Linked DNA regions of Arabidopsis thaliana. The protein of the gene in region 1 interacts with the protein of each later gene in a pairwise test. Each region holds a gene or a part of one and is shown on either strand. Other genes may lie near its edges. The genes, in order: MYB82 and AT1G74840.

Evidence for each region.
Region 2: the proteins of MYB82 (region 1) and AT1G74840 interact in a two-hybrid assay, tested with the Arabidopsis thaliana proteins (one large-scale study listed by BioGRID).

The regions. Positions count from the first base shown.
Region 1 is NC_003076.8:21,342,496-21,346,216, forward strand, and holds MYB82 (myb domain protein 82), read right to left. Parts: upstream 1,612-3,721; 5' UTR 1,474-1,611; coding exon 1,341-1,473; intron 1,248-1,340; coding exon 1,118-1,247; intron 1,045-1,117; coding exon 702-1,044; 3' UTR 607-701; downstream 1-606. Other genes in the region: AT5G52580 (RabGAP/TBC domain-containing protein), read left to right, coding at 29-353; AT5G52605 (Defensin-like (DEFL) family protein), read right to left, coding at 2,721-2,932, 3,045-3,105. UniProt on the Arabidopsis thaliana protein: Transcription activation factor positively regulating trichomes development. Has a function nearly equivalent to that of GL1 and can complement gl1 mutants.
Region 2 is NC_003070.9:28,114,824-28,119,543, reverse strand, and holds AT1G74840 (Homeodomain-like superfamily protein), read left to right. Parts: upstream 1-2,121; 5' UTR 2,122-2,226; coding exon 2,227-2,509; intron 2,510-2,672; coding exon 2,673-2,881; intron 2,882-3,037; coding exon 3,038-3,343; 3' UTR 3,344-4,101; downstream 4,102-4,720. Other genes in the region: PTAC2 (plastid transcriptionally active 2), read left to right, coding at 1-307; AT1G74830 (myosin-binding protein, putative (Protein of unknown function, DUF593)), read left to right, coding at 4,351-4,720.

The DNA.
Region 1 (3,721 bases):
ATTTGATTCTGGTGACATTGTGTTTTAGGGAATTTGAGTATGAGAAGACAATGCAGCTGTGGGAGGTGATGTGGACCCACTACCTCTCGGAACATTTTCACCTATATGTTTGTGTGGCGGTCTTGAAGCGATGCCGCAGCAAGATAATGGGAGAACAGATGGATTTTGACACTCTCTTAAAGTTCATCAATGAGCTGTCTGGGCATATTGATCTCGATTCAACAGTCAGAGATGCCGAAGCACTTTGCATAGAAGCTGGTGAAAATGGTGCTGCTAGCATTCCTCCAGGAACCCCTCCTTCTCTACCCCTTGATGACGGTACCTTATATCCTCAGGAAGATGATGTTTTGTAAGTAATACGACTTTTCTTTTTTCTTCTGGACATGTTACCAAAATTTGGATTGCTTTTACTAGAAATCCCATACAATGATTAAGGCAAAGGACATAAGCTTTTTTTCTTTTTCCCACTTAATAATTACTCTGGTTCGCAAATCGCTAGGGATAAGTATTCTGCTGCATTGTGCTGCAGTTGCATAAGGTAAGAATACGATCCTCAGCGAATTAGGACTTGTCACAATTTAGGATTAATTCTTGCGTAGGCTACGTAACTCGATGTAAATTGTATAAGTAAAGCAATAATAACATAATGACTCGAAAAGTCTATGCAAGAATTTATCCTTCGAGATAAATCCAGGAAAGTCCTAAAGCAGAGGAAAGAAATCGGTAAAGGAAAAACATGGGTCAAACACGAGAGTGTTGTCTGGGTAGTGGGAAATAAGTGGCAAGGGAGATCCTACGTGGACGTCATAGCCAAAGTGGTTGGTCTCCTCCATCCAGGTATTGCTCTCCTCTTCTCCTCCTTCTCCATGGCTTCTTCTCAGTTCTGTAGACATAACTGGCTTATCCGTGAAAGGAGTGGCGCCGACGATTGATTCAGGTGCATTCTGTCTTCGGGAATTAGGTTTCTTGTTCAAATGAGTATTCCAGTAGTTCTTCACTTCATTGTCAGTACGACCTGGAAGGCGACCAGCGATCAACGACCATCTGATGGAAAAGAATAAGAAGTTAGTATCGGTAAACTTATGAGAGGGATGATCAGTGGTGAAAGAGGAAAGACCTGTTTCCAAGAAGCTTATGCATGCGGATGATAAGGTCTTGTTCTTGTGGTGACATGCTTCCTCTTTTGATATTTGGTCTTAGATAGTTCTTCCATCTCAGCCTACAGCTTTTTCCTCCTCTCTTCAACCCTGAAAAAAACATCATGCAGAAACACAAATTCTTTAATGTCCCAAAATCCCATCTCCCCTTTACTAGTAAACACAAAAATTTGGAAATCGAACCGGATCTACGAGAAATGTCTGCCCAGTTTCCTTCACCATGAGTCTCAACATAGCTTTTTAATATCATATCTTCTTCTGGTTTCCACAACCCTCTCTTCACGTAAGACTTCCCTTCTTCTCTTTTGCATTCCATCTTTTATTTTTTCTTCCACAGTTTTGCAAGTGAGTGAGGCTGTTTATTAACTATATACACAAAAAGTTTGAGGTTTCCAACTTTAACTCTTACATGTGGGGACTATCTACTAAAATTATTGAAGAGAAAAAGAGAACAGTGGTTTGCACTTTTCCGACAGTAACACTACTGTAAATTCGTGCAAACTAGAGCTGTAAAAGCTCTATTCCCTTGTTTTTATCCTCAACATTGTCACAAATTATTGGCTTTTAAGGCAAACATATAAGCACGGGAGATCAGAGGTTGAAGATTGCCATCAACCTCGATACATGCGTTAGTCCATTGCATTGCAGATACAGTTTGTGCGTTTACAGTTGTTGCGTTTCAAATATTCTTTCTCGCTCAAAATGCTTTTCCAATAGTCAAGACTAGTGTATAAGGGATAACAAATCAATATCTAAAAAATCTAAGAACGAAAAGAGAGGTATATGTCTAATATACATATTTGAGTGATATATGCATCTACGTCCTAGCTAGTTCTTAGTTTTCAGATTTTAATATTATGGAATTTGGTAACTTACATTTAAAAAGAAAACACGATTCAACTTATTTTCTTTTTTAATATGATATCATAAGATACACCACGATTAAAATCTGAAAATTCCATATAGGTCAATAACTTTCGAAAAACATTATAGTACCAAAAGATAATTATTACAACAAGAAACCATCTTTTTATTTTGTGTAACTTTTGTTTGGCTCACAAAGGGCATTCAAATTTTAGTACACAATGACATGCCTAGATCTCATTGATGTACCTTCCTATAAAAAATGAAGACTGAACAAAATATGTGGTATCATATTCGATTCATTATATCCACTTTGATCCGATCCAAAAATCTGTATAATCGTAAATTTGCGGAGCAAAACAAATAATAAAATTTAATATGTGCCAAATGTGAAACATATAACAAAAACTAAAATACCAAATTGGAATCTTTGAATATTTCTTAGTAAAATGTAGATTACTTTTAGTAGGAGTTTACTCTGTCGTATCAAACAGCAACTCATGCCTCTAGTTTTGTTTGCTATCATCATCATTGTTATTGTCTTTCATATAAAATAATAGCATTATGACTACTTTCTGACTGATAAAACTTCATAATTGCGTAATCATTTTCAAACAATGTAGTTAGATCTTTATTAATTTTCGAACAATTTATCTTTGTGTTATACGTATGACCCTTATTAATTTTACATGATGCATATTAACCGGAACAATTGCAATGACATATATGTTTATGTTCAAAAAGTTTGCAAAAACCTCCTGTTTCGCACCCTTCAATACAAAATTTCCAGCATTTCCCATCCTTCTCAGCATCATCATCGATGCCTGGAAGACACCTTCCAACACTCGGATGTTCTTTACAACATATCGATTTGTCTTCAAATATCCAGGGTGCGATGTGTTTTTGTCCATCTATTTGAATGGATCCTACATTTAATCAAAAATAATATTACATGAATTAATTTTCCAACATAAAAACTTCGGAAAAAAAGGTTAACGCTTTAGTGCTAAATACAAAAAAAACATAGTATACATAATACAATAGCAGCAAATAAAACAAAAGAGACAACATTTGTTCTAACCATTCTTCTCTTTTTTCTTTGTTAAATCAAAATATTAAGAATTTTTTGATATTTTTGTATTTGAATGAGAATGAAGAAGGAGTTGTTTCGTATTTATAATTAGAATTCTAACTATATTCAAGGGATCCTTCGAATTAACATTATCTCACATAATAAATTTGTAAGGAATACAATATATTTGGTCAACCAAATTAAAAACATGTTTCCAAAAAGATTGGATATTCCAACTTTGACTACATTATTACAAGACATACATGACTTATTTAGATAAACGTTTTTGGTAGTTTGCAAGGTAATGCAGACTAATATTTTCTGTGGGTTTATTCTGTCAAGAGATATGATTAGAGACTCATTCATTTCTCAATATTCCAATTCACTAGTTTAGGAAATTAATATAATCTTGAGGCTCACGCCTATTACTTGTATATAAACAAGCTCTGTATCTCTTTGTGAAATACATCAAACATACATCTTCTACATATCCGTTGTCGTAATATTCTTGTTTGAACTCTAAACCAAAACTTAGATCGGTTTGGTTTACTCGCCGGTTGTTGCGCTCTATGACGAACTTTTATATAAACTCGTTTACTCGCCGTTATTACAACTTACAACTTCTGCT
Region 2 (4,720 bases), on another chromosome or scaffold:
TGCAAGAGAATCTCCTATCGCGAAAGCTGCTTTCTCCTTCTTGCAGGATCATGTCTCGTCCTCATTTTCCTTCACGGGATGGAATGGAGGTCGCATTATGTGCCAGCGATCTCAGCTCAAGCAGTTACTGTCAACGAAAGAGCCAACTTCAGAAGAATCCGAAAATAAAAACCTAGTGGCATTAGCAAACTCGCCAATATTTGCGGCTGGAACAAGAGCTTCAACAAGCAGTGACACGAACCACAGCGGTAACCCTACACAACGAAGAACCAGGACGAAAAAAGAACTAGCAGGGAGCACAGCTTAAGAACTAGACAACGTAGTTTCTGTTGCCAAGTCCAGAAATCAAAGGCCTCTTCTGCCTTCCTCCATATAGACTGGTGGGTGAAAACTGTGGGCGTATTTCACAAGCACTCCATATCCATGATAACTATGCTATGGTTTCAAGCAGTAGAGTCAACCTCTGTTAGACAGAAGAAGCTGGAGAAGAAGATAAATGGTGATCTTAGTTTATATGAAGAAGCGTCTATATGAAAATCTCAAGTAAGTAGCCAACTAAGTGTTTTGATGGATTGTTAGACCCATGATTTTGCAGCCATAGATTTTTTTTCGTTTTTTTTTCCATTCAACTATGTTTTTGATTACTATAAAGCTAAATGCTAATGTAAGATCAAAGCTCTAGTTACAATTAAAGGATCTATTAATCAAGATTCCTCAGGGAAGCTCTAGTTTTTGCTTGTGACCTCACCTGATGAACTCTCTCTGTTTCGAAATCTAACTTATTACATAGCAATGACCCAACTCCACCCAGAATAAAGAAAACAATCTGTTGTGCAAGATTCCTTCTTCGGTCTGATTAATCTTTTTCTCTCTCTCGTCCTCAGATATGTGTTTGTTTTCTGATTTAGGAAAGTCACTACAAGTTTGTCATCCAAATTGGTAATAAAATAAGAAAAAGATTGGAGAAAGAAAGGATCTTCCTATAGTGCTTCACACATTACAACTTTAAGATTCCACTTTGTGTGCGCATAAAAGTAATGGTGGCTTTGCTTTCTAACCGATGCTAGTGCTTTGTGTGATTTTGCTGTCTTCCAAAACTATTTACCAAATTTTGTAAATACTTTTTAGAATCTTTTCCCTACAAATCTAAAATAGATAAATAATAATAGTATGTGATCATATTGCTTACAGTCAAATCACATCCTAACATTCTACTAAAAGACTAAAACTATCACCTTTTTGTTTTTTAATGCTATATAGTTGTGATCAAGTCTGGACATACGATCATGCTGTTTATACTACAATTAGGTCCTTAACAGCGTCTTAAAATTTACTCTTAGCTAGAAAACGACAAATTCGACTACACAATCATTTTTGTTGTTGAATTAGATTCCTGAAATTGTAAGTTTTTGTGTTGAAATTCAAAGTTATAATTTCCAAAAAGGATTCACCTGTCTCCCAAGATTTTTTTCTTAATAATCAACTCATAGATCCACAAGATATAGTATTTTAGAAGAAAAAAAAGTACAAGGATGGAGCTGTAACTAAATAGATTATTAGAGCAGAGTACAGAATCATTTCAGAAGCTGACTATTTTTCTAAGCTCAAGTTGCATGCGCTTAGGCCTTAGAGACATTGCGTTGACCAGTACATTATAACCTGTAGATTTTTATCATAAAAATACATGAGGGTAACGTTAAGAAAAATAAAAGCGTCGATTTCATTTCATTTTTCTCATTCTGTTATTTCATTTTTTTGTATTTAACTTTGAGTTTGCGAAAGTCAATAAATATTTCTTCGTTATACGACCTACATTTTTTGGTCGACATAGCGAAATACTTTTTTAACTTCTTATTATAGGATAACATTTATTTAACTCTTTTTTCGTCATCCTATAAGATTAATTAAACTACTAACAAAAAACCTAATAAATCTAGTCAGCCAATGAATAAAAAAAGTCTATCCAAATGAAAACTCTGTAGAGAGACAGGCAGGTAAGAAAAAAATACAAGAACAGACGAATAAAAACAAAACACGTGTCATATGGTACCGTCACCAACACCTACAACATGTAATAGTTTAAAAAGGAACCACGTGGCTTTTGGCTTATAAAAGGGTCCCCAAAGAAGCTCAGATCTAACTCACACCACTCCATTGCCCATTGCTCTGTGTACTTTGCTTCTTTAGGAGAAAGAAAGCACAAGGGGCAAAATCGGAAAGATTATCATGGCCGACGGTAGTACTAGTTCTTCGGAGTCCACTACCGCCTGCGCTGGAAGCGGCACAAGAAGAGAGATTATGCTGTTCGGAGTCAGGGTTGTGCTTGACCCGATGAGAAAGTGCGTGAGTTTGAACAATCTGTCTGACTATGAACAGACGGCGGAGACTCCAAAGATCGACGGCGAAGATAGAGATGAACAAGATATGAACAAAACCCCGGCCGGTTACGCCTCGGCGGATGAAGCTCTTCCCATGTCTTCTTCTAACGGCAAAATCGAGAGGAAACGAGGTATTACTCTTCGATTGAAACTTTTTTTTATCATTCCATAAATTTGATCACTTTAAACTTAGGGATTTGTTAGATATGGTTTGAGAAATGGACTATGAACAACTTTATGTTCATTTGGATTTAGAAAGATGGCTAATTTATTGGGTTTCTTTCTATTTCTTAGGAGTTCCATGGACTGAAGAAGAACACAAGCTGTTCTTGCTTGGGCTGCAGAGAGTCGGTAAAGGAGATTGGAAAGGAATATCAAGAAACTTTGTCAAGACCAGAACCTCTACACAAGTTGCTAGTCATGCTCAGAAATACTTCCTCAGGCGAAGTAATCTTAACCGTCGCCGCCGAAGATCTAGCCTTTTTGACATGACTACTGATACGGTAAATCTCTAATCCTTTGTGACTCTAGTAAGTTAAGTGGTTAGGTTTAGTTTTTAGCTTAGTTGTTTAAAAGAAACTAATAGAGAGCCTTTGTGAATTGTTGGTTAGTGAAAACTTAAGTATAACAAAACTGATTTTGCTTGGTTTTGTTATCAGGTCATACCCATGGAAGAAGATCACCAAGTGCTTATACAGGAGAACACATCTCAATCATCTTCTCCTGTACCGGAAATCAACAACTTCTCTATACATCCGGTTATGCAAGTCTTTCCCGAGTTCCCGGTACCAACAGGGAATCAATCATACGGACAGCTTACTTCATCGAATCTCATCAATTTGGTTCCATTAACTTTTCAGTCAAGTCCAGCACCGCTTTCTCTCAACCTCTCACTAGCTTCATCTAATCTTAATGAACCATCTCCTTCAATGCATCCAGCATTCAACACGATTGGAGTCGCTTAGAGCTTATCCTAAAGGTGAAAATCTGCAACACACCCTGTTTGTTTCTTTGCTGTACAGATAGGTCTTGACTTTGTTATAAAAAAATTCGTCAAATTTATGTATTTGGCTAAAAAAAATCTGTTGAAAAGAAGAATAATAAACAGAGTTTGGAGATAGGACTTAAGTGGGGTTTTAGGGTTCATAATCATCCTGTGTTTTTCCTTCCATGTTTGGAAGTTGTTGTAATACTCTCTAAGTTCATTCGTGTGGATCTATCAAAACTTATAAATCATATTAACGTTATGTTTGTTTTATTCATGATCTCAATCATAAACAGAGTCGTAGTACTTGCTTATCATGTGGCTATCTAAATCATGTTAGATGATTCATGGGGTTTTAGGGTTTTTATAATATATCTGATTTCCAAGGATAAGATATTTTATGTTTGTAGAATAATGTCATTATCTTTAATGATGCCAATAATGTCAAATTTTATTGGTCACTTCCATCATAGTGGAGCTTTTTCTTTTCCCATCAGATGCTTTTAATATATTTTGTGTGGGATGATTACATATTACCCCTGTTGCGTAAGCAATAATCTTCCAATCACAGAACATGATCCCCATTCATTAATCGACCAATCAAACAGCATCATTTTTATATGATGATGATGTATATGTGTATGTCATGTGTGTGTTGGCATGTCCTCTGTTTCTGTCGTGTATGGTTGTATTCAGTTTTAGCGTCAACGACAAACTTCTCCTCACGTCTAAGCGGGGAAAAAAAAAAAAAAAACGAATCCAGTTTATCTTTGTTTGTTTTGTATCTCTCTGTCTTTTGACATTGTCTCTAAATTTATCAATTTCAAATCTGCGACTATCCTTTGTTTTTGGGTACTTTATCTCATCAAATTCCAGCCCAATCTAGACTCTCTAAACCCAGAAATAGAAACACAAATCACAAAAGATTGAGATAGATAGATCATGATCTCTGTTCTTTGTTGATCTTTGACCAAAATTCGATCTCCTATGTATATACAATTGCTCTGTTTTTTCTTGTTCTTGTTTCTGCTTTTACAAGCCACAATGTCTAAACGTTCTTTCAAGAAATTTGTGGAACAAGAACTCGGATCTCTTCCTCATTTCCTCATCTACACTGTTCTTGAATGGAGCCTCATTGTTTTCCTCTTCATCGACGGCGTTATCGCCTTTCTGTCAAACCAATTCGCCAAATTCTTCGACCTCAACATTCCTTGTCTTCTCTGCACCAGAATCGACCACATTCTCGTCCCTAGAGACCCTCAATTCTATTACAACGAGTCAATCTGCGACTCTCACAAGAAGAAAGTATCTTCTCTTGCTTATTGCCATGTCCATAAGAAGCTCTCTGAGATTAAAC